4 linked regions of the Diceros bicornis minor genome follow. The protein of the gene in region 1 interacts with the protein of each later gene in a pairwise test. Links are inferred from orthologs where the notes say so. Each region holds a gene or a part of one and is shown in the gene's direction. Other genes may lie near its edges. The genes, in order: BAG6, KLHL12, ATXN2 and SPP1.

What was found.
Region 2: the proteins of BAG6 (region 1) and KLHL12 interact in binary tests that used the Homo sapiens proteins (3 or more experiments, as listed by UniProt). The two-hybrid records come from large-scale screens. The link is inferred for Diceros bicornis minor from reciprocal best matches to the Homo sapiens genes BAG6 and KLHL12.
Region 3: the proteins of BAG6 (region 1) and ATXN2 interact in binary tests that used the Homo sapiens proteins (3 or more experiments, as listed by UniProt). The link is inferred for Diceros bicornis minor from reciprocal best matches to the Homo sapiens genes BAG6 and ATXN2.
Region 4: the proteins of BAG6 (region 1) and SPP1 interact in binary tests that used the Homo sapiens proteins (3 or more experiments, as listed by UniProt). The link is inferred for Diceros bicornis minor from reciprocal best matches to the Homo sapiens genes BAG6 and SPP1.

The regions. Positions count from the first base shown.
Region 1 is NC_080753.1:33,107,185-33,114,991, forward strand, and holds the start of BAG6 (large proline-rich protein BAG6), read left to right. Parts: upstream 1-4,796; 5' UTR 4,797-5,008; exon of another isoform or gene 5,009-5,031; intron 5,032-5,057; exon of another isoform or gene 5,058-5,071; intron 5,072-5,104; exon of another isoform or gene 5,105-5,171; intron 5,172-5,642; 5' UTR 5,643-5,655; coding exon 5,656-5,763; intron 5,764-6,895; coding exon 6,896-7,013; intron 7,014-7,128; coding exon 7,129-7,325; intron 7,326-7,562; coding exon 7,563-7,616; intron 7,617-7,777; coding exon 7,778-7,807. Other genes in the region: APOM (apolipoprotein M), read right to left, coding at 590-615, 1,008-1,106, 1,286-1,384, 1,479-1,552, 1,841-1,995, 2,389-2,502. UniProt on the Homo sapiens protein: ATP-independent molecular chaperone preventing the aggregation of misfolded and hydrophobic patches-containing proteins.
Region 2 is NC_080777.1:30,938,133-30,945,755, reverse strand, and holds the start of KLHL12 (kelch-like protein 12), read left to right. Parts: upstream 1-4,623; 5' UTR 4,624-4,722; intron 4,723-4,792; exon of another isoform or gene 4,793-4,971; intron 4,972-6,406; 5' UTR 6,407-6,445; coding exon 6,446-6,640; intron 6,641-7,623. UniProt on the Homo sapiens protein: Substrate-specific adapter of a BCR (BTB-CUL3-RBX1) E3 ubiquitin ligase complex that acts as a negative regulator of Wnt signaling pathway and ER-Golgi transport.
Region 3 is NC_080774.1:9,832,698-9,840,509, reverse strand, and holds the start of ATXN2 (ataxin-2), read left to right. Parts: upstream 1-4,799; 5' UTR 4,800-5,089; coding exon 5,090-5,322; intron 5,323-7,812. UniProt on the Homo sapiens protein: Involved in EGFR trafficking, acting as negative regulator of endocytic EGFR internalization at the plasma membrane.
Region 4 is NC_080747.1:71,991,762-71,999,601, forward strand, and holds the start of SPP1 (osteopontin), read left to right. Parts: upstream 1-4,838; 5' UTR 4,839-4,918; intron 4,919-6,033; 5' UTR 6,034-6,046; coding exon 6,047-6,100; intron 6,101-6,212; coding exon 6,213-6,251; intron 6,252-7,840. UniProt on the Homo sapiens protein: Major non-collagenous bone protein that binds tightly to hydroxyapatite. Appears to form an integral part of the mineralized matrix. Probably important to cell-matrix interaction.

The DNA.
Region 1 (7,807 bases):
TGACAGACCCAAAGGATCCCTTGGATCCTGGGATCTGAGCCATCCAGAGAAGAGTGGGGCTGTTAGTGGGGTGGAGTAGGGGGTCTGGATGGGAGCCCACAGGTGACAGGGAGTCCGCAGGGAGGATCTGTGGTGTTCCTGGGGAGCCAAAGGAAGTGGGGATGGTGCAGGCAGTGTGGCACGAAGGCCAGCTCAGAAGGGCTGGCAGCCTAGAGAACAGTGTGGGGAAGCACTGGAGCTTGCAGTTCCCACTCGGGGGTTGGGGGTTTGCTCACTTAGCAATAAATAACTGTGTCACACCAAATCCTAAATATACCACTACAAAGTGAGAGTTACCGCCACTCAGTGTCCTTCCTGACGCCGTCCAGCTGGAGGTTTAGATGGCAGAAGGTCCAGGGGGACTATTGAAATGGGAGTAGTGGGATTGATGTCTGGAGACAAATCCCAATGAGACCCTGATTGAAAATCTTTATTGAAATCCTTATTGAAAAATCATTTTTATTATTCTTCAAAGGGAGCTGGGAGTCTCCAGCTTCTCCTTCTCACCACAATCTCAACTCCCATCATATCCATCAGATGAAGCCACAGGTCAGTTACTGGAGAGCTCGCAGGCCTCTGGTGGGAGGAGGGAGAGAAAAAGAGGATGGAAAGGAAGGAAATCCAGGGAGATTCCCTCATTCCCTCATTCCCCTGTGTTGAGAAGGGATCTCTGAGGACTTTTTCCCTCCATGTCTGACCCTCTGCCCCCTTTATCCACGCAAACTCAGAAACCTCTCTTTTGAGTAGCCCAGAGCCCATCCTGGCTCCCTCAGGTGACATCACAGCTCTTGGCCACATCCCTCTGGTGCCATCACAGCCTGTGACACAAATGGAGGGTCAACACAGCCACTCTGATGATATCAGCCTTTGGCCATGCCCTCTGGTGACATCACTTGAGTCCCTTTCATCCAGCACCTGCAGAAGACTTGGTGAGTCCTAGTCCTCTACTGTGCGACTTTACCCCTCACCTTGATTCCTGGGAGTCAGTAAGAAGGCCTTGGAGTCCAGGCAGGAGGTCAGGGACCGGAATTCCTCCACACAGTTCTCAGGAGGGTGTGGCAAGCGATCTGGAAGGGCAAGGCAGGGCCAGGCCCATCAAAGCCCCTGCTTCTTAGCACTGCCCCTGGTGAGGACCTCATGGAAGCACCCAGCCCTTCCTGGGATGATGCGACAGGGCCCAGAGTGAGGAGCTCTCCTGTCCTCCCGTGTTTCCCTCCAATCCTTCCTGCCTGGCATCCCCACTCACTGTAGAGGAGGAAGCGCTGGTAACCCTGGCCCGTCTCTTTCAGCATGATTCCACCTGGGCATGAGCTAGAGAAGAGCTTGGTCTTCATGTCGGGGCGGCCTGTCAGGGTGGGTGAGGAGAAGTGTGAGGACCGAGATGCAAAACCAAGCAAGCCCAGAGGACTTGGGGAGAGTGAGGACTGGAGAGAACCAACCTTCGGTTCTGAGATCTGTGCTCCCCTCAGTCAGGTGGTAAATCCATCTCCGGGGCACACAGAGCCCATTTTTCCTGCAGAGGTGGTGGTGGCAAGGAGGCAAGACTGAGTGACACCCCAACCACACAGTACCAGCCTCTATTTATTCCATCTTATTCCTTCTTGAAGCCCGGGTCCCCTTGGGTTTCAAGCTACCAAGGGATGGTTAGGCCCATTTCTCTCCAGACTGAAACTAATAGAGCTGTTAAACTCAGAGGGCCAAGAATTGTGGATATGCCAAAGCACTCAGCTCTTTGTGGGTAGGTGCTCACACTTCAGGCAGAGACCGCACCTACTGGTGCCTCTGCCTCCTCACCACTCACGTGCGGATGGTAGCACGAAGCTGGAGCTGCTTGGGGGCAGAGTCTGCAGCCATGTTGAAGACAATGTTGTCCACAGGGTCAAAAGTCACCAACTCCTCCTTGGTGGGAGCTGCTCCTGCGATAAAGTACCACCGGCCCAGGTGGGGCTCTGGGAACTGGAGAGACAATAAGGGGAACAGAAGAGGGTGGGTCCCACTACAGGATCCATCCCATGTCTTCATCAGTCAGGATGGCAAGACGTAGAGGTGGAGATGTTGGCTGCCTTTTTCCAGTTGGGGGTTGGATCCATGACAGGGAGTCACTAAATGACTTTTCCTCTTTGCCCCTCCTCAATCAACCTGAGTAACCACCCCACCCCCCAGTTCTACCATGTCTCCACATTGATGGCCACAGTGTTAATATTTTTTTTACTTGTTCTTGCTTTCATCATCACAACACTCACACCCTCTTCCTCCCTCCTTTTCCCAACGTGGCTTCTGGTCATCCTAGGCCACCACTCAAGTCCCTCAGAGCCCCTACCATAAGTTTCTCCCATTCTCAGTCCATACCTCTTTCCCATCCACTCCCTGAGTTGTCAGTTGACTGTACTCAGGACACTGGTAGATGGAGTTAAGGAGAATGCCATAGAGGTAGAGGAGAGCTGCCCAAATTTGGTGGAACATCTTCAGGCAGGAGGCAGCTGGTGCTCTGCATAGAGTGGTGCCTTAACTGCTCTCTTCCCCCGCTGGCTGCTCAGTCCACTCTGCTTCCAGCCCCCTTGCCTCGACCCTTGACCCTTTCACCTGCTAATGAGTAACTTCAACCTTGTTTTCCAACCCAAGCCTGGATTAGTGTTTGGGCCTTCCTCCCCCTCCTCTAGATGCAACCACTCCACAATACACCCTGGCATGTCCAGGGTCTCTCAGGAATTATAAGGAGAGCTGAGCCCTCCAGGCAGAAGCCTGTGGTCTTTCAACCCATATCTGAGCTGGGTATCTGCTGTGTTGTGCAGCATCCAAGAGTGGTGGATTGATTCATTCATTCACTTAGCAAACTGTGTTGAGTCCCAGCTGTTTGCCAGGAACTGGCTAAGCCCTGGGGACATAAAAATGAATAAGACACAGTCCCTGGCCTTGAAGCAGTCAGTCTAAGGAAAACTAGCTGTGTAAACAAATCACTGCTGTACAACCTGGGAAGTGCTTTAGAACAGGTACAAACCACGTGCTGGGGCATGGTGGATAGGAGGCTTCCTCTCTGAAGTTTATAATTGAGGAAACAATATGTACGCTCTCCAGAAAAGTTTCCTGACACATAAGTGAATTCATTCACTCAACGTTTATTACTACAAGAGGCTATATAATCTAGTGGTTGAAGAGGACAGACATTGGTGTCAGGCATAGTGGGTCCAAACCCTAACTCTACTATTCATTAGATTTTGGACAATTTTATTAATCCTTATGCCTGTTTTTTCATCTGTGAAATGAGCAACTCATCAGTCTCATGGGATTAAAAAAGATAATGCACATAAAGCCCTTAGCAAAGGCCTGCACACGGTAAGTCCAAAGTAAATACTCTCTATAATTAATAGTAACGTTTGTAAAGCACTTATTACAGTTTCTGGTGGCTAATAAGTTTTCAAATAGGAGATAAGGAAAGAATTGTCAAGAGGCAGTCATTGGATAGTGCCAAGTGGGTGGAGCAGTTAATGCAATAAAAGGTGGGGCTTCCTTAATAGATTGTTTATAACCCACAGACTGCCAAAAAGAGATTTGTCCTGAGAGGTGAGGCTTGCTATGGGCTTGTGATTGAACAAAATTTGGGAGATGGGTATATCAGGATTCATTATACTATTCTATTTTGGGGTAATGTTTGACATTTTTTGATAATTAAAAACTAAAATACAACGATTTATTGGGACAGTAAAGTAGAAGTGCTTGACCCAGAGCGTGCTGGGCCTGGATCTGTCGGTTCTGCCACTTACGTTCGCCTAGGTGCACTCACCTATACAACGGATGTAGTAACTATCTCAGATGTTGAAAGGCTTTTAAATATGACTACGTAAATCTCTTAGCAAATCGGCGGGCGCAAACTAAGTGCTCACTAAACAGGTGCTTATCAGAACTCTTAACTGAAGCAGTACTGGGACCTGGGTATAAACTATAAAAAGGCAGGGCAAGGGAGTCAGGCACCCCGGCAGCGACGAGTCTGACTGGAAGAGTCGCAGCGCCTCGGGGTCGATGCCCTTGCCCGAGAGCGGGGGTGGGAGGAGAAGAGGGGAGAGAGGCGGTAACTACCTCGCCCCCGCAACCCCCGCCTGCGGAAGCCCCTTAGCAGCCCCTTCAATTCCCCGGAGTCAGTCTTGTGTTTCAGTCCAGTCTGACTCATTTGCTCCCGATTTCCAAACTCAGAAGCGCCCTTTTTTTTGACAAAAGTCCTGAAAGGTGGCAAATCCTTAGCTTCTCCAAAACATGGCGTGTCGCCTCAGCCGTGCACCGCCGGCGAGGAACATGGCGCCCACACTCCGCAAAACGCCCACCGGCAGGACCGAAGTCAGGCCCAACGACTTGATCGCACGCAGGACAGCTCGCGAACCACCTCCAACCGCCTACGGAAAGGGTGACTTCCGCAGGCGCCGAAGATTGGCGCAGCGAGGGCGACAGTGACAGGAAGACAGACTCTTAGGTGGCCAGGACAGTGCCGTATCAAATTCTCTGCCGGCCAAGACTTTAATATAGATTAACGAGGCACAATCCCCAGTATCCAAACTCCAACATCCACAGAACCGTCGGAAGCCTCGCGAGGCAGTCGTACAGTCCCATCTGGTAATTTTTTTTTTCAGGCATTTACAGTGCCCACCTTAACGTCCTATTGCTCGAGCGCGCGCGCAGGAGAAATGCACAGCTCCAGCGGGGGTGGGGCGGTGCCTAAGTGTGTACGCAGGCGCAGTGCCACGCACGCAGGCGCAGTACGGTCCCCCAGGCGACGGCGGCGGCGGCTCCTCGAGGGCTCGGCTCCTTCCCATCTAGGCCGGGCCCGGTCCGTCTTGCCCCCAGGAACTCACTGTTTGGGGCCGCGGACTTCCTGGTCGTGCCCCACAAAAGTAAAGCTTGGGGACCTAGGAGGAGCCGGAAGTACCGCCTCGCGATCCCCAAATACTATCGGGGAAACGGAAGTGGCCGTCGGTGGCAGGTTAGGGGAGACCGGAAGTGACGGTACCGTGGGGAAGTCGGGGGCGGAGCCGCGGAGTGGTGGGTGGGTGGGTGGGTGTGTGTGTGTGTTGGTTGCGCCGCTCTGCTGGAGCACCGAGGGAAAGCGGAAGAGGGGGGCAGTCAGCTAGCCGGTCTGGCCCCCCGTGAGTGTCGGTCATCTCCGGTCTGTGGTGACTTAGGCGCGTTCGATGGTCGTGGCGTAGCGCGCCTGCGCGAAACCACTTTCTCCGCAGTCTGGCGCGACCCTCTCACTCGCGTTGTTACAGGATTTGCCGACCTTTGGGGCCCTTGTCTTATCGCGACCGGTGATGACACTGGTCTCTTGCTTTCTTCCCTGCTTCCTATCCCGATTGGCCCTCCCTTATTGTGATTGGCATCGTGGAGCCCCTCCCACGTCCCGTTCCTCCAGCTCCTTGTGCCGTCGATCTCCTGCCCTTTGTGTTTCTCTCCCTGTGCCCCGGAATCAGAAGGGGGATGGGGGCGGGTGTGAGTGTGTGTGCTTGTGTGAGAGAAACCCTTTAGGTATTGGGGCGGAGACTCAGGCCGGGAGGCTTCCGGATATATAAAATCTGTTCTGGGCGACAGCGGGCCTCCCTCCTTCCATTCTTCCTTAGAGAGCTGTCGGCCATGGAGCCCAGTGATAGTACCAGTCTCACTATGGAAGAGCCTGACACCCTGGAGGTGCTGGTGAAGACCCTGGACTCTCAGACTCGGACGTTTATTGTGGGGGCCCAGGTGAGACCCCAGTACTTCTGTTAAGACACCTATTAACTCTTTCTCTTGTAGGCCCCTTAGCCTAAGAGAAGAGCCTGATTTTCTGGTCCTCAAAATTTCTTGCATTAATTTCTTTGTTCATATTCTAGGCAGAACATTTACTGATGTTTCTTGTTGAGTGAGAAGGTATGGTTTCTGTTGAATGAGGCAGATTTTGTTCTGTCTTCCTCCACCTCGATAGAACTCAATGCAGAGGGAAATATGGAGGAAGAAGGAATCTGTATGCTATCACCATAAGTGAACCCCAGACCAAGGGGCCAGACATGGCTTCTGCCTTTGGGAAGGGAAACAGGACACACAGACCCAAACGCAAGTGTGTCTTAAAAACAAAAATTGGTCGGGTCTATCCTGTGTTTTTAAAGGCTAGAAATCGGAGCCCCTAATGCAGGTAGAGCCCTAATAGACTGTTGAGTGGAATTACTAAGATTTCTGGCATAATTCCTATCTTTTGAGTTTAACACCATGGGGACATGCCATTACTCCTGTAATACTTGGAGACAAAATTGTGAGGAGTTGGTCCATGATTTTTAGAGCATGGTATTACATGTATTTAAGAAAACCGTATAAACTTTTTCAAGTAGATGTATGTAAATAGCCTGATACTTCCCAAGAATCAGTTGTCTAGTTAGTAAAACTTTTTTTGTTTTTTGCTCCCTTCTCTCTCTCTTCTTGGTTGAGTCTTCCTTCCTTGCCCTGATTCTCCACCCCATTTTCCTTGTCATTGCTTTTATCTTTGAGATTACAGAATTGTATCGTTTTGTGTTTGGGGAGGGGTCACCGGTGTCTTTAGACACACATTCCCCTGGGAGCCAGGTAGAGAAAGAGAAAAGAGAATGTCTCTTGGCTTTTCTGTTTCTTAGCTATGTAATTTTCTGCTAGGTGTATAACTTGAACTTTGCTAAGTTTATTGTCTGTATTTTGACCGCTGTTGTCTTAGTTTGGGGCTTTGCCCAATAATTACTTCACAAGTCAAATGGGTAGTGATTTTATGATGGGATGGTTTTTACCCCTTATCCCCACAAGTCAATTGTCCTTCTGTCCTTCTTCTTTCTTCCATCCCTTGATACCTATTCGTGTCTTTTCTTTGTTACAGATGAATGTAAAGGAGTTTAAGGAACACATTGCCGCCTCTGTCAGCATCCCTTCTGAGAAACAACGGCTCATCTACCAGGGCCGAGTTCTGCAGGATGATAAGAAGCTCCAAGAATACAGTAAGCGGGTGGGGAAGGCAGTTCAGAGGTTGAGGCAGCTGTCCAGAGGGATGAGCTGAGGCTGTGGGTTTACCTGCTCACATAATGTTTTGGTGTGTATCTTTTTTTTCTGCAGATGTTGGGGGAAAGGTTATCCACCTTGTGGAACGGGCTCCTCCTCAGACTCAGCTCCCTTCTGGGGCATCTTCTGGGACAGGGTCTGCCTCAGCCACCCATGGTGGGGGACCTTCCCCTGGTACTCGGGGGCCTGGGGCCTCTGTTCATGACCGGAATGCCAACAGCTATGTCATGGTTGGAACCTTCAATCTTCCTGTAAGCTTGTGTTCCATGTGGAAGAGTTTTTGTGGGGAAGGGTAGTTTTGGTTGTGGTAGCAAAGAGCTCATAAGACAGGTGTCCCAGTCTTTAGATTGGGTTTGTAGGCCCCTGTGGTCTGATAACGGCCTCAGTCTCTGAGGAGAAGAGGGTTGGGGCTCCAGAGAACGAGTTGGAAGTGTGGGGGCCTTAGTATTTGGCTTCTCCCAGAGCAACTTCCCTTACCCTTTCCCCAGAGTGACGGCTCTGCTGTGGATGTTCACATCAACATGGAACAGGCCCCGATTCAGGTATCACGGGGCCTGGGAGGGCCAGGGAAGGGGATCTGGGAGAAGGAGGCTGTGAGGTGGGGGTGGACCTGGCTGAGCAGATAGCTGGGACCTGGTTTGGTAGATGGTGGAGCTCATGGCTTCATCTCAAACCTGCCCTAATCTTCCCTCTCTTGTTGTAGAGTGAGCCCCGAGTACGGCTGCTGATGGCT
Region 2 (7,623 bases), on another chromosome or scaffold:
AATCACAAACTGGTGACCTGCAGGCCAGAAACGTTCACAAATGTTTTGTTTGGCCTGCACGGTGGCAACAATTGACTGCAGCTCAACAGCAGCTCTGTCCTTTAGAGAGGGCTTGTGCTCTCCAGGGCATCATTGTCCCTACCTAGTCTGCTTCACTCATTGGAGTCACCTGCCTGGCCCCTGTAGGCATCTGAGTTTGCAACCATTAGTATAGAACTGGAAGGAAACAGACACATCTGATCCAACTCCATGCATTTTCTACGTGAGGAAATACGGAGATCTGTAGCAATTGGTGAGGCTAGTGTGCACGTTTTCCCATCTTTCAGTAGTAGACAGGACCAGCGAGAGGATCTGAGAGGACATTTACTGAGCATCTACTTTGTACTTTTCACATGTCATTTTATACCTTTTTATCTTTAATCCTGTGAAATAGGTAGTATTATTCCATTCCACGTATGAAAAAATTAAGGTCCCAACAGACTTAAGACTTTTTTCCAAGACGAGACAGGATTAGAGCCAGTATCTGAATCCAGATCATTCTGATTTAGACCCCATGTTCTAAAGCCTCAGATCATTTAAAAATCCCTTTTGCTCCTGATTTCAGTATCTTCCCTTGTCTTTATCAGAACTGCTAACTAGCAACAAGTAAATATTACCTTCTTTCTGTAACTGCATACTGTCGATGCACATAATCCATAATCAGTCTATAAATCAAAATTGGGGTATTATAAGCCAAATTTGAGGACCATATAGCCCAGGGCCTTCCTTCCCCAAGGAAGGAAGGGCACCAAAGAAGTGGGGTGTACAGAATGGTTATATACTGTCAAAGAGCATGTATCACATATGATTGCAATGTCCCTTTTACAATAGTCACAAGATCGCCCTGCCAGATTGCCCTGTCAGCATAGAGATTGATGGACACAGCGGGTAGCAAGTCTGCTGTCTCAATGGGTGTGGCAGGTACCAGGTCTGTTGTCTCAAGTTGGGTGGTCACAGGATAAGAGCAGCAATCAAATCCTAGCCTAGGGAGAAATGCTTATCCTTAAGGAAATGCTGATGTGGGGGAAGTTGCATCTATACCTTAAGGACATTTGTTCTTGCCTTTGGGACATGTTAATTGCTTAAAGCAGATATACAATGAATGTTCAGAGGCCACAGGCCCCTTTTGGAAAAACAAGGTCAGGCCGAGAATCAGTTTTACACCAAATGGCTTCCTCATATGTTCCAATATATCCTATTGCTTGCCATTTATTTATCAAAACTTATGGTTCATTCACTTACTTCCTAAATACTTGAGGATCTGCTGTGTGCTAGGCACTACAGGAGAACAAGTAAATGATGACAGAAACACCGGTAGGCTGTGATTAAAGAAAGGCCAAGAATAAAAGGTAAGGATCTGACTCTACCCTCTTCCTATAAATAAATAAAAAATCAGGGGAGAGACTAACATCTCTATCTATAGAACATCCATTTTCAATTAAATAAAAAGAGAACTTTGGGAACCTTAGTAAACTCTTAAGTTATTACAAATGGATAAGATCCAAAGAATTTATTTTTTTTAATTTATTTTTTTCCCCCAAAGCCCCAGTAGATAGTTGTATGTCATAGCTGCACATCCTTCTAGTTGCTGTATGTGGGACGCAGCCTCAGTATGGCCGGAGAAGCAGTGCATCGCTGTGCGCCCGGGATCCGAACCCGGGCCGCCAGTAGCAGAGCGCGTGCACTTAACTGCTACGCCACAGGGCCGGCCCCCAAAGAAATTCTTAAATGCTCTGTTACTCTGGTCCTCGGGGAAGCATTCGCCAAGATGACATTAAATATGCAAGGATTTTATTAGAGGAAATGCTTATATGCAAAGAAAATATGCAGGGACCCAGAGAAGTTTGGGAGAGCCATCACACTGCAATGCAAGTCTGACCCCCATGAAGGAAATAAGGAGAGAAGGTCGGGAGAAGCGTCCTAGACTGCTTTGCAGTCCACGCAAGTTTTAGCAAAGCACTCTGTTTGAGAGAAGTCCTTGATCCAAAGTCTGCTGACAAAAGAGTCCCATAAAGGGACTCTTAAAGTCCCTTTATTATAAAGAGTCCCAAAAAGGACCCAGAAAAGGTCCACCTTAGTATCTCTGCTATGACCCATGGGGGCAGAAGCCAGCCCATATGAGGCATGATCTGGGCCTGAGTGCAAAATTGAGTGATGACTTTCAAAGCAGCAGCTGGGCCCCTGCCTTGATTACATTCAGTAATTAAGAGGTGTATTGTCATGTCTGCCACACTCTGGTGGCGCAAAAACGCAACGTATTCTGCCCAGCTGGTTTAGAGATTCGACCTATACTCTATGTACATGATCTAGAGCGCCAGGGCAAGTTCTGTTTTCCTTTACCAAAACCCTTGACAAGATATAAACACCCAGAATTTGGAGTGCCAGGTCCAAACCATCAAAGCAGGATTATGTATGGAAACTGACCAACTCACCTTATCCAGACCCAGCCCTCCAGAATGGACCTAAGAAACTCAGAGTTAAGTTTGGGCTGTAGTACTGGGTCGGATAGTCAAATGAATGAAAATATTCTTGTGTGGGAAGGATAGTGTCCGTGCCTTAAAGACCCAAAATATGCCAGGACTATACCACGAAACAGCCTGCGTCTTGGCTTTCTTGCTAATAGTTTCTCCATCTTTTATTATCTGGAAAAGAGGTGGGCATAATCTAAACAAAACCTCTTTTATTAAATGCCCTCTCATATTTGGAAAAATTCCCAATTTAGCAGCCAGGAATTAGGCAATATCATTAAAGTGCTATTTTGCATCCACAAATCAAGGGTTTATTTTTACTTTTTATTTAAATTGCTTGTTAGTACCAACGAGTCGATTCCGACTCCTAGCAACCTTTTGTATAGCAGAGTGGAGCCCTGCCCGAACTTTTTGAGCCATCCTCTCGCCTTCTGGCGCCATATCAGACACTGCTCTGCTGCTATTCATGGTCTTCATGGCCAATTTTGGGGGGAGTGGGTGGCCAGGTCCTTCTTCCTGGTCTGTCTTAGGTTGGAAGCTCTGCAGAAACCTGTCCACCATGGGTGACCCTGCTGGTATTTGAAATACGGGCAGCATAGCTTTCAGCATCACAGTAACACCTAGCTGCCAAAGTACCGACAGACAGGTAGTGTGGTTCCCTGACCAGGAAACAAACAGGGCTGCAGTGGTGAGAGCGCAGAATCTTAACCACTAGAGCCCCAGGGCTATTTAAATTGCACATATTTTTAATTCATATAATGAAAACTTCAAAAGGCACAAAAAGATATAGAGGGAAAAATCTCCTTCCCACTGTCTCCCCACCAACCAGTTCCTCTCTCCGAAGAAACCAGTGTTAACACTTTATTTTGTATCTTTCCAAATGCATTTTATACATATACTAGCAAATACGAATATTTATATTTTGCCAACATTTTACACAAATAATGGCAAACTATACACACTGTTTACAACCTCACGGTATCGGATTGTACGGATGTACCATACTTTATTGATCCAGTCCCCTACTGATAGACATTAAGGTAGTTTTTAATCTAATCTACAAACGACCTTGCACACACATTATTTTATGAATGCACGAGTATATACGAAGGATAAAATTATAAAAATCGCTCAAAGGATATCTGCATTCATAATTTTGGTGAACTTTTCCAAAATGCCCCCAATAGAATTTGTACCAATCCTGCACTCCCACTCACCCTGTGTAAATCAGGGATAATGTTAGATCAGAGACAGATGATAGGAAATTTAGAAACACTAGGTAAAATTAGATTGCTATCCACTTGGCTATGGTTTTATTATCGCTAAAGAATCAAAGGCGTCACAGAGGAAAACAGTATAATCAAACACGATTAGTTTGTACGTTTACATCAGTTGAACCAAGGAACCTCATTCCCTTCCGAGCCTCTAAGAAAAGTGCGCCAAAATCGATTAGAAGCAAAAACGCTCAGCACCCATGAGCTAGCGAAAAGTCAGCAGAAGAGGAAGATGAGGACTACTGGGACTTCTAAGAAGACTCACAACGTCTAACCCCTGGTGACCACGAGTTCCTTCCACTTAATTGTCTGGGAGTGCAAGAGGCAGAGGACATGACCTCAGGAGTGACGACCGGCCCCTCGCGATGTGGAGAAGGCTGAGGTGAGCGGAGCGCAAGGCTCGGAGGATTCTCACCGCAGCGGTGGTCGCCTGAAAAGGGGCAACGCAGACACGGACTTGAAGCAATCTGAAGACCCGGGGGTTTTCTCGACGTGAGAAGGTTCCCGAACACCTGGCAGGTAGCACAGACTCCCTGCAGTGAACTCCTCAGCCTAGAAATCTGTGGGATCCTCTCAAGCGGCCTGCGTCGTGACCCCAAGAGTACCTCAGTCTCGGCCGCTCTCCAAGCGGGCGGGCCGCCCTCCGCCCACCTGCCGTTCGCTTCCTGTCCCGGGCTGGAAACCCGGGCCTGCGGGCACCGCGACGCCCCCCTCACGTGACGCAGAGGGAACGGAAGGGGCGGACCTCGTGCTGCGTACGTCATCAAGCTGCGCGGCCGCGGGGACCTGGTGACGGCTCCGGAGCCTGGGGCCGGGGTGGCGGTGGCGGCGGCGGCGGCGGCGGCGGCGGCGGCGCTTGGGCTCCACTTGGGCCCCCTGCTGGCCCCCAGCCTGTTCCCACGGACGAGGCGCGGCCGGCGCGGGGTGGGCCGGGAGCGGAGGTGAGTGCGCGGAGCCGGGGCCGCCGCCTCCTCCCGTCCCTCGACTCCAGCATGGGTGCTCCGCCCTCGGTCGGAACGGGAGAGATGCGCCCCGGGCCTCTGCCTGGGTGTCGGGGCGGAGACCGCCTTTCCCTCCCTCCTGCCTGGGGTTGAGCCTTCCCTGAGCTCGACACCGCTCCCCTCCCCGAGTCTCCTAGGGCGGAACCCTCGGATGTTCGCGCAAGTTCTAGAATAGATCGCCTCGGGAAGGTGAGGCGAGGCAGGAATCCCCGGGGAGGAGAGCCTGGAGGCTGCAAAGGCGGGTCATAGGCTGAGCCCTGCCATAATCCGCAGCAAGTCCTCACACTGCCTCAGTGTGCGTGTCTTAGACCTTCTTACCAGAGTTGAAACTAAGTAGGCTTAAGGAAAATCTTTTTGAAAAACGTCATCTGCTTTGATGAATCATCCTTTTCTGTAAAATGTATCTTGCACAGTTGTTGGAGGGATTACCTGGAGTGCTTGTAGGATAATATGCTAACTGTAAACAGGAGTAGATGAGAATTTAGGGTCTCGTTTTTACTATTCAAAAATTACCGTTGTGGGTTGTGGACTCTTGAAGAACGTCGTTTGATTTTTTTTTTCCCTTAGATCATTGAAGAAAGTTTGGATTCCAGATAAGATAGACTCTTAGTAACCACGGTATTTTACTCCCCAGAAATTGTGTTTGACGCAAAAAAAGAAAAAAATAGTGTGTCTAAAGCCTGTCAACAATCAAGAAAATACTTCTTAAATTGGTTTTTTGATACGTGATCTCTTACTGAGTTCATTTAGTTGATGCATACAAGTGAACTTTGCAAGTGACCAGCTATGGTAGTAAAATCAGTGGTGGAGTTTTGATAGGTTTCTATCCTAATGAGGCTCTCTGTTTCAGTATAGAAGAATTACTACAGCTGTTGATTTGTTAATGTTGATGGACATTTACTAATAAGATAGAGTAGGAAGACCCCCTCTATAGCAGAGCTTCAATAATGTGAGAGAAAGTCTGTGGATAAGCTTGCATGGTTTCCATTACTCAGTGTAGGTACCGGGTCTTCATTTGAAGTGTAATTTTAAGAAGAAATCCAGATATAGTTGGAAATCATCTTAAATAATTCCTTGCCTACTTCATTAGAAAAAAGTCCATTTTCAGTGACCCTTTATTGCTCGTAGTTGAATACACAATTTTTCTTTTGTTGCATTGAACTACTAGACATTCATTGTACACCTGCTAGCGTAGAAAAAATATGTAAAACGGGATCCCCATCCTCTACGTACGTACGTACTTAATCTTATGGATGGATGTTAAATAATACTGATATCACACTTTTAAGAAATTTTATCTTTTCATCATTTTATCATTTGAGACAACAGCCTTGTAAAGATGCAGGACATGTGAAGTTTCTGTTTGCAATACAGTTGAGTATTGATTATAATAAATGTCAAGTGGTAGGTGTGCTCAGTAATAGCAGAATTCAGAAGAAGAAGAGATCCTTTTTACTTGGGATAGTTAGTAGCTATATTGTGGCGGTAATGCCAGGAATAGCAGTGTTCTCTACTGGTGGGTGTTTGGGTCTGAGGAAGCCTCCTTAATTTGTAAAGCTAATTGAATATATTCAGTCTCCCCAGTCCTTCAGATATGCTCATTTTTTTTTTTTTGTACTTGTAGAATCCAAGGACACCTTTCATTCCTTCTCCATATTGCTTGATGGGAGGCACTATGGCCCCCAAAGACATAATGACAAATACTCATGCTAAATCCATCCTCAATTCAATGAACTCCCTCAGGAAGAGCAATACCCTCTGTGATGTGACATTGAGAGTAGAGCAGAAGGACTTCCCTGCCCATCGGATTGTGCTGGCTGCCTGTAGTGACTACTTCTGTGCCATGTTCACCAGTGAGGTAAGTGGTAAGTTATCCCCTCACAAATGACAGTCACACATGTAACCTTGTAATTGCCTCATTTTACTGAATAAAACGGTAGAAGTTTGATGTAGTAGTGAATTTCTATAGTATGGTGGTTAAATGGGCAGGCTCTGGATAAGATCTGCCACTTGGCCATGCCTTAGTTTCCTCATCTCTACGTGGGATAGTAGGAATGCACAATAACGTGGTTATTGTGACGGTTATTTGAGAACATTACATATAAAGTGCTTAGAACAGTGTCTAGAATGTGGTAAAACACAAATGTCAGCTATTGGATTTTAGTTACTGTTTTTAATTTTGTTTTCCTGTTTTGCTCCTTCTAACGTTTAATATTTTAAAGTGAATACCAGGGGGATAGAGAGGAGGGAAGGGAACAGAAGGGATTCAGTGCTCTTCCCCCTCCTCCTAACGATATTGAAGAAAATTGGTATTCACTCTACTAGTGTAGGTTTTAGAGTTATCTCGAATGAGAGGAGGAGGACTTGATGAATGACTGTGTCGGCATATGGAGGATAACTTGGAAAGAGATGCTGACTCTGGAGGATATACAATTAAAAGGAATTAGGAAAAGGCTGGCTTGACAAGAAAAAAGGTAGTGCTCACAAAGCGTTAAGAAAGACTGCCTTAGTAATTGGCAGAACATTTAAAATGTAGAGTAAAGCTGTTGAATACATTGTGAGCTGCTCCTAGAAAGCTGAACAGAGCAGAAGACTGCAACTTTTTTATTTTTCAAGATCTCAAGTCTGATTTTTAAATTTTAAATAAATTATCTTGATTTTTTCTTAAGCTTGAGCTGTGAGTACACCAGTGTTTATTAGATCATTTATCTACATTTATACATATGCTTGAAATATTTCATTGTGGTAACACTTTTTTTCTTTTTAACCACCAATATGGTCTTCAGTTGGTCCCAACACCTCAGTGAAGATGTTGCTGCTGGATTTGAATAGAAGAGCTAG
Region 3 (7,812 bases), on another chromosome or scaffold:
TAAGTCTGATCTCTCCGGGGTTCCCTTGCGGGGTCTCCTGTAGCAAACTTAATAAGATCCCATGCTAATGCCCAGTTCAGCTGTCACTGGTACCGCGCACATCCATTTTAAATCCCCTCCTGCATTCTCCAAATGGCGCATACTTCAAATCTCTGGCTTTCCGTAAATCTGTGGGCCCTGAAATAACAGCCTGCCCACAAAATTTACCCCAAAAAGGGGGTGAATGAAAACAAAAAGGGAGAACCAGGAAGAACAAAAGGCTGAGTTTCTTTAAATTTCTAGCTCTGCACAGCACAAGCATTTCCAATGAAAAATAAAGAATTCTTTCTTCTGTGTCGATTTCAGCTGGCATCCAGCTTTTGCCTTGTGAATAATGTCACTGCATCATTATTCTGTCCCACAAGGTAAAAAACACTAAGCAACTTAACAACCAGAAGTGTGCTCGTGTGGAGGAAACGGCTCATTTAAAAGCTTTTCAAATAATGTTGCTGTGTTCCCTACTATTTTGCCACCCCCCCCTCAGTTTTTTCAAACCTATGGGAAAGTTGTTACTTTGCACACAAGGTGTGTACATAATGCCCTCCTGGAAGCACCCCACACTTTACACTTTCTCTTTTTTTTTTTTTATTGCTTTTAGCCTTTTGGGATTCCTGGAGTGTCTACAAATAGATTAGCCTCTAAGAATTCTGAGTAACCATGGTTAGAAAAAAACACTGGTTTAATTAGCCATGGTCCTATTTTTGAAATTACATCTGCTCTTTTTTTTTTTTTTTTTTTAAGTGAGGATTGGTCTATGCAAAAACTTGAAGAGGATGGATTTTGGGGGGGGTGCATGTTAGTTCTGATTTGAATTAATTTTCATGCTTTTGAAAGCAAAATCAAGAGTATTGAGTGAATAATGTATCATCATACATTAAACATGATCGAATGAAGAGAGCTGAAAAGAAATGATTGCAGAAAAATGAATTGCTGGAAATACTGGATCATCTGATGTGTGCTGCTGTATCGTGTGATAGCAAATGACTCTTCGCATTTCTGCTTTGCATGGCTACATCAGTTTTTCATCTCCACATCCTCAGACTTGATTAATCATTGAAGTGATGAAAATTAAAGGGCCATGTGCCTTGCTGAAGGGTCATTGAAAATCAGAAAGCAAGTAGAGAATCCATAAGACTAGATTCCCAAGTTTGAAAGTCTTTCTCTATATGTTTCTCACTTGATACTTTCATTTCTGAAATAGTGGTTGAAACGGCCACAGCTATTTTTGAAGTTTATATTTTAGAAATACTTCTCAATATCAGAACTCTTTCAGGACAGTGTTTTTCATGGCCTTTGATGACAACTCTTCAGCAACACTTGTTGGTTTTATTTATTTATTTTTAATAATTTTATTTATTTATTTATTTTTCCCCCAAGGCCCCAGTAGATAGTTGTATGTCATAGTTGCACATCCTTCTAGTTGCTGTATGTGGGACGTGGCCTCAGCATGGCCGGACATGCGGTGCGTCGGTGCGAGCCCGGGATCCAAACCCCGGGCCGCCAGCATCGGAGCGCGATCACTTAACCGATAAGCCACGGGGCCGGCCCAACACTTGTTGGTTTTAAACAAAACCAACAATGGCTGCCTGAAAATTGGGGCCGGGGGAAGCACTCAAAAATGTAACTTATACTGGATATACTATTAGTTCCTGACTTCATTTGTCTTTAAAGAATTCTGAATGCACATGGAAATCACCAGAAATGCACTTTTTTTTGGGGTCATCTGTATCAGTTATCTATTGCTGTGTAACAAATTCTCCTAAAACTTATTGACTGAAACAACAAAAGGGTTAGGAATCTGGCGTGGCTTAGCTGAGCATCTCTAGTTCAGGGTCTCTGGAAAGGCCTACTAAGGTGCTTCGATCAGGGTTGCAGTCACAACAAGGCTTGACGGGGGAGGGGGGGGGCGGGGGGGGGGGTGATCTGCTTCCAAGCTCACTCACCTGGCTGCTGGCCACCATCAGGTCCTTGCTGCTGTGGCTGGAGACGACAGTTCCTTACCATGTGGGCCTCTCCACAGGGCAGCTCACAACATGGCAGCCACCTTTCTTCAAAGCAAGTGAGTGAGAGAGGGCAGTCCAAAACAAAAGCCAGTCTTCTTTTCATATAAAACTAAAGCCCTCTGACATCACAGTTGCTGTTAAATAACCACATCTTCAGAGGTCTAGAATTCAGGTGAGGGGTTTGCAGTAAGAGATATTTTTTGGTTCTGGGTGGTGATCCTCCTTCCATAAAGAAAAATGGGGAAGTGTATAAAATAGAATAGATAGTAGAGGTTCTCTTGGTTTCCGTTTTAATATAAAAGCAGAAATCAAATTTTAATGATAAACCCTCAATATTTCAGGCGTGGATGTAAAATGGTATAGTCACTTTGGAAAAGAGTTTGATGGTATCTTAAAAAAGTTAAATATAAATTTACCATACTATCTAACATTCCATTTCTAGGCATCTACTCAAGAGAAATGAAAACATATGTCCACGTGAAGACATATGTTTACAAATGTTCATAGCAGCATTACTCAGAATAGCCCCAAACTTGAAACAACCTAAATGTCCACCAACTGGTGAATAGATATACAAAAAGTGATATATTCATACAATGGCATATTACATGGTGATAAAAAATAATGAAACACTGATACGTGCTACGATGTGGATAAACCTCAAAAACATGTGAAAGAAAGCAGACAAAGACCACCTATTGTAAGACTCCAATTATACGGAATGTCCAGAACAGATAAATCCATTGAGACAGGAAGTAGATTAGGGGTTGCTGGGGCTGAGGATGGGAACGAGGAGTCACTGCAAATGGGTATGAAGGATCCTTTTGGGGTGATGGAAATATTCTGAAATTAGTGATGATGGTTTCACAACCCTCTAAATTTTCTGAGAATCATTGAATTGTATACAAAATGGGTGAATTTCATAATATGTAAATTATGCCTCAATAAAACTGTTAACAATATATTTTCAGTGATAGTAGATGAAACTTTGAGCTTTCTCAGCGTAAATGAAATCAAGTTCAGCTACGTCAGCCTCAGGCCTTCTTATTCCACTTGTTTTTCCTCCCATTTGTCTGGAATTTGGTCCTGAGATTGAACTCTGGGACCTTGGTCCCAGATATAGCTGTCAAATAATTAAACCAGAGAAAGTTGATTGTACTTCTATTATGGCCCTTCTATTTTTTTTTTCCTCATCCGTTTTTTTAGTCTCAATTTCCTTTGGGTTAATTTTTAAAGGATTTTGCAAACGTTGGTTTAAAAGAATACTATTTTTTTTTTTTTTCCTTCAACCTCCTTTTACCTCATCTGGGAGAAAAGCTGATTTCCTACTTTTCAAGTGTTTGCAGAATATAATGATCATTTTTGCCTGAACTATCTTGGAGATTAATTTCAATTTGGCTACTGGAGACTCGTGGCTTAAGCATTCTCCAAATTTTTCTGTTTTTACCTTTATCTGACAATTCTGGGAGATTGAGGGGAATTTTGGTATTTTCCTCCTATTTCCTGAAGTCGTTACACTTTTTTAAAAAACTAGATTCCTTACTCAAAACAATCAAAAAGTTATCTACTTGCTTCCAGTTTAATTGCAACACAGTCAAAAAATGGACTACTGTGCTGGCTACCAACCTAAGTTAAAGTAAAACTAAAGGGGCCAAGGTCTAAAGCGCGCACCTTCTTGTGAGGTCTGTGCTGTCTCCACCGAAGGAGCCGCTATTATCCATAACTCTACCAATCATGTACATTTCCTTTTGAGTCTCAAGAATGAGGAAAAAGAAGTCCAAGTGAGGGGAAATGGGTTCAAATGAAGGTCAGATACCCAAAAGTTTTCCAGTTACTGTGTTACTGGGGTGAAAAAAGTGGGCAAAAGGTAACCAGATCTGGGTGGCCCCAGGAAGTGGCTCGATTCCAACACTGCCATTCTTGGTACAGAAAGAGAGGACAGCCTGCCTTTGAGACACCCAGTGACACGTGAGAGCCTACTGTGTGCCAGCTGCTGGGAATACAAAGAAAACTGTGGGATGCTTGTGTTCTAGGTGCTTTATACGGAGCAAGGCAGTCTGCGCCCAGAAAGCACTCCAGTCCATCCTCTAGGTTGCATCAGGTGGGGGCTGAGCAAGGTGTCTGTGCAGTGGCCGACACCTCCTGTTGCACACGGATAATATCTGAGTCTCCGTCTCGCTCTCTCAAATACGAGAGGGCGGACTCGGATTCTCCTAGCCGTGCGAGGACGTTGATGGACTATTGGGGGGCGGGAGGCGGGGAAGAAACGCTTCCCTCCGGTCCTCTACGCTAGGCCGGCCCTGCAGGCGAAGACAGACACGCCCTCTCTGAAAGGCAGACCCGCCTCGAGGAGGGCGGATCCGGCCAGGGCCGGCCGCCGGGCCCTCACCCGACCCCCGCGAACGCGGCCCAGCGCAGCGCCCGATCCTCACGTGTCCCTCCCGGCCCCGGGCCGCCTCACGTTCTGCTTCCGCCCGACCCTTCCGACTTCCGGTAAAGAATCCCCGTCCCGCACGTCCGCGCCCACCCGGCATCGCCACGCGGCGCCTCTGTGGGCCCGGCGCCCGATGCGCTCGGCGGCCGCAGCTCCTCGGAGCCCCACGGCGGCCCTCGAGCCTCGCCGCCTGGCCGCGGCCAGGTGGCCCGGGCGGCGCTCGCTCCCGCCGCCGGCGCGGCGGAGCGGGCGGGGCGGCGGCGGCGCGGCTCCGGGCCCGTATCCCTCCGCCGCCCCTCCCCCGCCCGGCCCCGGCCCCCCTCCCTCCGGGCAGCGCTCGCCTCCCTCCGCCTCAGACTGTTTTGGTAGCAACGGCAACGGCGGCGGCGCGGCCCGGCCCGGCTCCCGGCGGCTCCTCGGTTTCGGCGGGCCTCCCCGCCCCTTCGTCGTCGTCCTTCTCCCCTTCGCCGGCCCGGTCGCCCCCCCGGCCGCGCCAGCTCGCGCCTCCCCGCTCGGCGCCCGCGCGTCCCCGCCGCGCTCCGGCGTCTCCTCGGCGCGCCCGGCTCCCGGCTGTCCCCGCCCGGCGTGCGGGCCGGTGTATGGGCCCCTCACCATGTCGCTGAAGCCCCAGCAGCAGCAGCAGCAGCAGCCTGCGGCCGCCAATGCCCGCAAGCCCAGCGGCGGCCTTCTCACGTCGCCCGCCGCCGCGCCGCCGCCGTCCTCGTCCTCAGTCTCGTCGTCCTCGGCCGTGGCTTCCTCCTCCTCCTCCTCCTCCTCCTCCTCCGCGGCGGCGGCGGCGGCGGCGGCGGCGGCGAGCGCAGGCGGCGGCCGGCCCGGCCTGGGCAGGTGGGTGTCGCGCCCCAGCCCCCTCCGTTCCGAGCCGGCCTGGCTTCGCGTCCCCTCCCCCGCGGCCCGCACCGCCGTCCCCGCCCCGTGACCGGCCGGCCCGGGGGGGTGGGCTGGGGGCCCGCAGTGGGGGTGGGGCTCCCCTGCCGTCCAGAGCCGGGGGGGCGGGGGGTGGGGGTGCCGCCGGCTCCCTGTGAGAATGTCAGGCGGTGTCCGGCGTCCTGCAACATCCCCACCCCCTCCGCCGAACGGTCAAGATGGAAGGCCTGGGCCGCCTCCCCCTCTCGTTTAAGTGCTGGGGAGGGGGTCACAGGTCTCGGCGAGTGTCAGCTCTGTTATACCTTTCTCAAGCCTCCTCCGCCCCCGGGGGGGGATGCTTGGGCAGCGCCCCCACCCCCAGTTGGGATGTTAACGTGGAAGGGTCTTGAGGTTTTGGTTCCGTTTCCCGAAACTTGCCAACTCCCCCATTGGGGAATAACGAGGGAGGGGGGAGAGTTAGGGCAGCGTCCCCCCTGCCTGTTAAAGGGGCAGCCGCAGGGCTCCTCTGGAGTCTTGAGGGTCTGTGCAGTGTCCTTACCCACCCGCCTCCCCGCCCCGGGAAGATGGAAGGGCCAGGTTGAGGGGGTGGGCAGCGGCCCCCCGCACCCCTCCCCATTTAAGTCGCGGCGTCGGCGAGGCTCCAGAACTCCTCGGGAATCGTGGGGCTCTGTGCTGTCTCCCGCAGCGTCCCGCCCTCCCCACCTGAGGACGGGGTGGGGAGGCCCGGCCCCCGCCCGGCCTCCCTCCTTCCCCCGCGAGGCCTCCCCGGCGCGGGTGGCGGCCGAGCCGCATTGCTGCTCCGAGGCCGCGGAGGAGAAGTCGCCTTGGAATAGCGGTGGGCGAGGGTCGGACCCCGGCGTGCTGCAGAAGCCCAGCCGGACTGGGGACATTGTGGGGGGCGGGGGCAGGGAGCTGGCATGTTGCGCATTTTTCCCTAGCCCCCGCCCCAATTTTTGAAATTTCAAGGGGAGAGGGATTGCAGCAGGGGGCATCGTGGGGTTCCTGGAGGCAGAAATGCGGATGTTTACTTGCGTCGTCTCCCCCTCCTGCCCCCATAACCCAGGTTTGTGGTAGAGACCACTGGGGGCTCAGTGTCTTCTCAGCTAACCGGGTCTGACTCTGGCGGGTGTGTTTGTGCGGGAAGGCCTGTTGGGGGTGTGTGTGTGGGGGTGGTTGTCAGTTCGTATTTCACGAACTAGGAAAATGCTTAGTGTTCAAACGGGGCAACAAATGTCAATGGACTCCATTCCATTGTGGCCAGTGTCCTTAACTTGGGGAGTGCCGCCAGAGCTCTCCAAGGGCACGCGAGTCCATTTCCCCGGTGCCCCGGGGCCCATCCGTGTTGCATGGACTGCCATGCCTCCCTTAGGTCTAGGCGGGGTTGGCAGGGTCAGTAAAGAGGATCCTTCTTAAATAGACATTCTGGGCTTTAGAAGGTGGGGTAAGGGGATTTTTTCATGCAGTAAGTTTTGTTTTTGAAAACCGATTTTCAGCAATCCATTTCCAAAGAATTTTCATTTATGGCAGGAGAAGTTACCCATCAGGATGAATCAGAGCTGATTTTTAAGGAATTCTGCTGCCTTCGATGGGAGGAGGGGGAACATGGGTTTTTTGACTTGTGCTCTCCCCCCCACTCCCAGACTCCCCCTTCTCTGAAGCACCCACAGACTACTACCTAGTCAAACTACTTCAAATGAAGTGCTTATTTTCCCAGCTCTTTCCATTTAGGATTCTGCAACTCCATAGTGAAAAATGGAAAAATTTTATATGTAATTTTTATAGAAAAGGATGCACCATTTTTTCCTTCTTAGGTATCAGAAATCTGGCAGATATATTCAACTTGTTCAAATAATTAAAAATTAGAACTAAAGCTTTTACGTTGCATCCACTCTGGTTAGGCTTAAAAATTGTCAAGAATCTGTTCCAGAACGGCTGGAGTGATCAAAAATATTTGGAGTGTTGTAGCACCACAGATCTTTTTCTGTTCGTTGAGGCATCGCAAACATTTAGGGTTAATTTAGATTCCTCCTCCCTTTAAGTTCTTTTACTTGAGGCATAAATTGTGGCCCTTATTCTTTTTGGTAAATATGTGGGGTTTTTTTTTTAATGTATTGGATTCATATAATGTGAAATTTTGTTCTTGTACAGATCTTCAGTTAATATACTTGTAGAATTCCTTTCAATTTTGATCACTGTTACTGGGTTCTTTGTAAGCCATTACAGTTTCTAGAGTCTCACTTATGTTTGTATTAACAGTTAAAATAAGTTTCTGGGACCAAGGGTGAAGAAAGGAAGTGCAGCGTTGGGTTTGACATGGTTAGAGATGGCAAAATATTCTTGAAAGTCTAGAAATACACGTCTGCTTTAAATAATATAACGTCTCATCATATTTGATTCTTTTTGGTGAATAGTGCATTTTCTTGGCTTTCAAAAATTTATTCTGTCTTTACT
Region 4 (7,840 bases), on another chromosome or scaffold:
ATCCAGTTGCTTCTTTGGCTGTCCGTTTTTTGTCCTCTTTCTTTTGATTTTCTTCTGTTCTTCACTGAAATGGTGACTTTTTCATATCAACCTTACAATGGATTCTCTACTGAAATTACTCAAACATCAGATTTGAAATGAGAGTTCTCATAAGCTGATTTCAGAGAAGGCTTTTCTCCCCTCAAATACATTCCGCAAAATGCCTGTCGCTGGTTGCTTAGTGTGGCAAAACGTCTTTTCTGCACTAACAAGGGCCTGTGGCTGCTAGAATTTCTCCTTGTCCGTCCCTGCTGCTTCTACCTCCCCCTCTTCGGGTCCTCTCTGATTACAGGCTCCTGTACTGTCACCCTTGTTGCTGCAGATATAGAGCTCTATGCTGCTGGATTGATGTTGGATGGGCAGAGACAATTCCTGTTTGAGCCTATCCCAAAATACCCATCCCCTCAACTTCAGTGTAGACACAGGGTCTCCACCCTGTGCCTTCTCTGTCCGCAGCCCAATGAGTTTACTGTTTAATCACACCCTCTTAACCTCATGGGCTACTCAAGTTACAAATTTCTTAGTTGATTTTCATGAATCCATGGGCTCCATGAGGGTAAGAATGGTGCCATTTTAAGAAAAAAAAAGTAATAATTTAAGTCAACTTTAAAGAATCTATCATTTAAAGAGTGTTAGAATGCTCTTAGAGTTAGTGATAATACTTTGATAAAGAAATACTGCTAGATGGGCTTAGCAGTTAAGTGCACGTGCTCCATCCGATACTGGCGGCCCGGGTTCAGATCCCGGGCGCGCACCAACGCACCACTTGTCCGGCCATGCTGAGGCAGCATCCCACATACAGCAACTAGAAGGATGTGCAACTATGACATACAGCTATCTACTGGGGCTTTGGGGAGAAAAAGGGAAAAAAAAAAAAGAGGAGGATTGGCAATAGATGTTAGCTCAGGGCCTGTCTTCCTCAGCAAAAAAGAGGAGGATTGGCATGGATGTTAGCTCAGGGCTGATCCTCCTCACAAAAACCCAAAAAAAAAGAAAAAGAAATACTGCTAGATTCTTGAGTCCTGGTAAATATTAGCTATCAATATATGATATACAGATTCAAGCATAGTGCCCACACATTGTATTGATAATCAAGACCTATATGCTCAGAATTAGTTGTTATGGATGGAGAGTTGAGTGGTTAATCATTAACAATTTATCGAGTACTTACTTACTCTATAACAATTCTATGGGTCTAAAAAAGAAGCTTTTTTCTGTTGTTTTAAATGAAACTAATGTTTACCAATAGCGAGACCACTTTTTCAGGAGCTGAATTTTGTTGACTAAGTTATTGAGCAATGGGATAAAAAGTTTGATAGTGTTTCTCCTTTGTATTTCTGAAATGCTCTCATTTCATGTCTGAACTTAAAAACAGCACCCTGTTATCTTCCACCCTCGTTTCCCTCCCTCTAAGAAATAATGCCTTCTGCCCTAGACTTCAAATGATGAATACTGTAGTGGGCTTCTGATTGGCTATAATTCCCAACTTCTCTATGACAGATTGCTGATGGTGTCAAGACATCAGATTTTTATCTGAACCTTAATTCAGGGGAAAAAATAATTATTGACAGAGCTAAAAGGGTTGAAAAATTTGATTATACTTTACTCAGTAGAATATAAATAGAAATATCCAAATAAACTAGAAGTCAGTATAATAAAGTCCACCAAACAGTGACATCTGGACACGTAAATTTTCCCATTATATGAGAATTTTCATGTAATTCAAGAAAAAAATAAAATGTTCTTTATATATTTCCATATGTCCTCCTACGGCGTCTATATATATATATTTTTTTTTTTCTTTTGTGAGGGGATCAGCCCTGTGCTAACATCCGCCAATCCTCCTCTTTTTTTTGCCAAGGAAGACGGCCCTGGGCTAACATCCGTGCCCATCTTCCTCCACTTTATATGGGACGCCGCCACAGCATGGCTTGCCAAGCAGTGCGTTGGTGCGTGCCCAGGATCTGAACCAGCGAACCCCGGGCCGCCGCAGCAGAGCGCGTGCACTTAACCGCTTGCGCCACCGGGCCGGCCCCCTACAGTGTCTATATTTTATGACCACAAACCACTCTTCATTCTAGTTTAATAACTAAGCTTTTTCCTTTCGATATACAAGATTACAAGGAATTTGATCATTTCGACCTTTTGATTCTAACAACCAAGCATTAGCCTAATCAAGAATGAAACTAGTGTGGAAATGCTACAGATCAAGCTCTTCTGATTTAATCATTTAACATGTTAATTCTGACCGTTGGAAAATCCTTCTCAGAAAATGATGTCAGCAGCATGTTTGATTACAAAAAGCAAGAAGCATGAGCCTCTTCAAAACTCAGAGTGACACACTATCCATTTTATACTTTACAGCACTGCCTCCGTTACAAATCACTTGATCTTCTCATCTCTGAAGCATCCCAGACACATTCTTTAACCATGAATTCATAAGTCTTCACTCTGAGTGAGACCTCGGGATCAGTAACCTTTTGAGCGAGTGTGGGAAGTGGGGATGGAGACAATAGCATCCACCTGGCATTGCTGAAGGCCAGGACAGAGCAGAACAAGAATGCTTTGGTTCTCTTGGCCTCTCTGTTCCCCGTTATTGTGCAGCAGGTCATTGTTGGGAAATATTTCCTCACCTGGCATTCCAAGAAATGGAGGGCCCCATGGCTGTTTTATAGTTCTGTCATTAAATACGTGAATGCTCTATCCTTCCAGAATAAGAAAACTGACAGAACCAGATTGTGGTCTGAAATCCCTTTCAGAAACACTGCCATCGTGTGGCCCTTTGGAGCTATGACCGGAAGAGTCCTGGGCTGGGTCATTTGGTTCATCTCGAGATGGCTGGGCTCCAGCGAAATCTATTCCTATAACTCTCTAAGTTCATATTAAATCATTCCCGTGGGCACAGAGTAAACCATAGTGAATCTTGTGGAAATCTTGTTGTTTTTAGAATTTGTGCACTTCCCTCCACTGAACTGACAACATGACAAACTTCTGTGAGTGAGTAATGTGTTTAAAGACGAAAAAACACAGCTTTTAAAAGCAAATAAGTCTGTTTTGCAACTTTATAACCTGAGTGCTTTATATTTTACAGATAGCTGCCATCTGAACTATTAAAATGTGTGCTTAGAACCCGCAAATGAATTGTATCAATTCATTTGGAATGCATCCAATTTAAAAGAGACATATTTTTCCCCCACCGAATGTCCATAAAACCTATGGATTGGTTATACTACTAACACTGCAAGAAATTATTTAATCCATATTTATATTAAAAGCAGTATTTGGTCAATAGGAACTGACACCTTCGATAGAACTAATAATAAATGGGGCCATTTACCTTTAATCTCACTCCACACGTGATTCTTACAACGGCGCTCTGAGGTAATTGAGTAGTGCAATCTCCATTTCACAACTAAGAAAGGTAGATGAAGAGGTCAGGTAATCTCAAGACGATATTAAATATTTAGGATGGAGTCAGAACTATGCTACCTCTAGTTTCTGTTCCAATATTCAAATTCATCTGTAACTTTCTTTCATTCAAACAGCTTTTAAATATCCAGTAAAGTTTTTTAAATATAGAATTTTTTTAAATTTTCTTCCTAAGTAACCAACTTTATATATCCTGGAAGAAAAACTAGAAAAAGATGATTCAGAAAGAATCTAATCCATTCCTCTAGAAGTGTGTAAATTACACTATTGATGTACACAGTTTAAAGATCTTACGTCTAGTCTCATCCTAATAAACTATTCCATTTAAAGACTTTACAAATCAGGACTACCTGCTCCTCCTAAAAATTTTAGTAATAGTTAACACACACAGTGCTTAAAATATGCATATAATATGTGCCACTCATTGCTAGTTTTACCCATGCTAATTCATTTAAACCTCTCAGAAACACCAGGAGCTAGGTAATGGTGTGTGCGTGCGACAGGTGAAGACACAAGTACAGGTGGGCTCAGTGATTTGCCCAAGGTCACACCGCTAGTTAGTGGCAAAGTGGGATCCCAAGCCACACTCCAGCACACACAGCACTCTCAAGCAGTAGCCCTGCTCTCAGAAACTGCTTTACTTCCGCAGCCTTTACAGTCAATCACAATTCTTCTGTTTTATATAGCACGTTATCAGATTCATCATCTGCAAACAACTCAAACAATGCGACAAAAATCTACGTCCTTGAAAGGCCCTTATAAATCCAACTTAATGGGCATGAACGTGGATTTTAATGTTACTAATGCCGTTGGTCTAAATGACAAGCCGCTGCACGCTTGACGTCACAGAAACCCAGCTTGAATAGCAAAGGACGGAGGGACAGTCTCTGAACTCTTTGTACGCCTGAATGATAGCCGTGTAGCTCTTAAATAAGTATAACTATGAGGCAAATTTGGTTGCATATATTACCCTAATCTGTTATTTAAACCAAAAGAAACAAAAATCCGTTATATTTAATTTTATTTGGGACTGACACATTAATGCTTTTTCTTCTAATTCAGAAATTATAAAGTCTTTGTAAGAACTAGTCAATTTCCTCCCTTTTTTTGGGGACCCCTAGGTGCCCTTCCAGGATGCTGAAGATCAATCTCATAAATGAAAAAGCTAGTTTAATGATATTGTACCTAAGTAACATTTTAACTGTAGAGTAGTCTGTGTGTGTGTTTGCTTGTTTGTTTAACCACAAAACCAGAGGGGGAAGTGTGGGAGCAAGTGGGCTGGGCAGTGGCAAAAAACCTCATGACACATCTCTCCTCCTCCCTGTGTTGGTGGAGACCGTCTGGAGCAGCATTTAAATTCTGGGAGGGCCTGGCTGTGAGCAGCGAGGAGAGGAGGCCAGCAGTGCAGCATCATCTCGGACTGGCTCTTCTCAGCCAGCCACAGACCAAGGTAAGCCTGCAGTCTGCTACTTTGTTGCTGTCTTAAGCATTCAGTTTCATATCAGGGGGAAGGTCAAGTTGTAAGGAAAAGAGTTTAACTGGAAGGCTGTTAAGCAGACTACAATTGTTCTAGTCTTTTGAATAAACATGCCAAGATACATTGCAGATCTCCTGGAGGAAAGGTGACCAGCTATTTTAAAAGCCCGTTGAACATAAAACCTAAAAATATTTGCACTGAGTCCTCAAAAGAACTGAAAGTACCTCTTCCAGTCAGAAAAAAATTAAATTCGGTGTCTCTTTGGAATAATTATATCTATATCATTTTAAATGGATAGATGATTGTGGAGGTACTTAAAAGGACAAAGATCTTTAGTGCTAATATAAGCCAATGATAATGCTATTTTTTAATGATTTGATGTATCCTATTTTCAGGGAGGAAAAAAAACCCTTTCTGAATATTTTACATCTGTATTTACCTGTTAAAATTTTCACGAAAATACCTGTATGACACTCAGTAGACTTATCACAAACAGAAAAGCGGTTGACTGTTTTCAATGTTTTCTTTTTCATTTCAAATATCTAGAATACCTTACTTAAATCACCAACTTTAGAGACAGCTTTATTTCACTTAATTAGCACCTTTTTAATAATTGAAGTTAAAAATCACATTTGAAATGCATGCTGGAAAAATGGAGACAGCAAATTTCTTTCATAGCTTTATTTTCTCTCTCTCTGTGTTTTTCTTCTCTGAAAACTAAATATTTCCACACTAGCTTATTATTTTAATTAAATTGCTGTTGATCTATTTTTAGGTTTAGAAAGCTAGAGATATCAGATAGTAATGGGTTAATCTCTGGAACTCTAAATTTTAAAGTTGAATAAATATAATCTTGTAAATTTCCTCCCATCCTTGCCTAATAATGAGAGATGGAGAATAAAGGTGGCATTGCAAATATTAACTCAAAAGATCATAATATTAAAAAGGAAAGATTTCTCTAAAAAAGAGAAAATATTCTACAGAAAATATATTTTATTTGTGATTATTTTGTAATATGGTATCGTTAAAAGGTTATCACTGTTGTAACCTATGACGAGATCGAATATTCTTTACAAAATATTTTGCAGGAAAATTGCTACCATGAGAATTGCTGTGATTTGCTTATGCCTCTTAGGCATCGCCTATGCCCTTCCAGTGAGTACAGCTGAATCTTTTTAAAAAATTCTCAAAATAAATGAGTTGTATGCTGCCATGTGCTAGGAATGCATTCACATTGTAATCTCTTTTCATTGTTTCTGTTTCAAAGGTTCAACAGGCTAATTCTGGCAGCTCTGAGGAGAAGCTGGTAAGCGTCTTTTAGGTTCATCATCTAGTTAAGTTATTTATACATCTGCCGCAAGAAGCACTGCAAACACATTTGTTGCAATTTTACTTATTTTCATGGTCAAGGCTGTTAATTTATAAAGGTATTTATTGACTGCCTGCTTTCAATCTAGGCCAGTGCCGAGCACAATAAAGTGTTTAATAAGTATATACTCTTAAGACTGAGCTAGATTTTTTTATATAATAAAATAATGCTCCAGGCCATTATCACTTATGTAAAATGAGTTCTGTGAAGTTGTGTGGCTTTTTCTTTCCATGAGTCAATATGCTGTTCTAGAAGCAGAAAATTCCATCTTTTGTTTTCCTTAGCAGAAGGCTAAGTTTAAGATTCACCTCACATATTGGACAGTTTGTACGACTGTCATATTCACAATATCTCCTAAGATATTTGCTAAAAAGCCCACTATAAAATGAAAGTCTATTTATGCTGTTTGTATCTATTGTGCTTGTCAGCTGACTTTAGATCACATTTTTCTAACCGAACATAAGACCAAATCAAATTCTTCATTATAATTATTTGACCAGAACCATAGATGTACCTGCCCCTCCACAATAGGTGAAATAGTGCCAGCCAAACAACAAACGGGCATTGTCCCAAGGAGCTTGGACAAAAAGGCACACAGAGTTCAATTTCAAATGAACAGAACAAAAGCCAACAGAGAGCTGCCCGAGCTCACTGCAGTCGGAGCACTTAATGAAGACGTTCGGAGAGGTGTTGCTGTGTGTGTTTGGGTGTGCAAGTTGGTGTGTTTAGATGTGTCTGTTTTCCAATCGATTTAAGAACACAAATATCGGATCACAGTAATAAGCCAGAAAAATTAGCATTTCCAGATAAGATAGAGGTCACACTCTTTGAGGCAAGGGTTAGTGCCTTTTTCATAGAATAAAATACGGCACATGAAGCCATGGCAATATAAGTTATCAAATGATATTTAGGAGAGAAGTGAAGAGCTCAACCTTCTAGAATCCTGGAAATTTAGAGCTAGTAGGAACTATGGGAAAGTCGTAAATACATTCTCCCTGAGCCTAGATTACGTGTATCATCAGGAAATATATATATCTATATTTATTAAATATATATAAATTGTAATATTTATATATAATATTTATATAAATATTTATTTTAGAGAAAGAAACTTTGAACTCATCTGGACCAGTAGTTTTTGTACCTTTTTTGGGCAAGGAACCTCTTCTTTCAGAAAAAACTTTCAGAGAAGCCCCCCCATGGGGCTGGCTGTGGAAGCAACTCTGGGGAGCCCCCCGGACTCTTGTTCCCAAGGACGGGGACATGAAGCGATGGGCCCTGGATGACACAGCCCATCAGATGACACACATTGAGGGCAATTTCCACTCCTCTGCACTAGCATGTTATAATCACTTTCCAGATAAATGACTTGGCTAAAGGAAAAACCATTCCATTCATGTCTTGGACAGCTCAGAGAAATAGAACTTTTGTGGGATGATGTTAATATTTTATTTCTGCACTGTCCACTCAGATAGCCACTAGCCATATGTGGCTATTGAACACTCAAAATGTAGCTAGTGCATCTG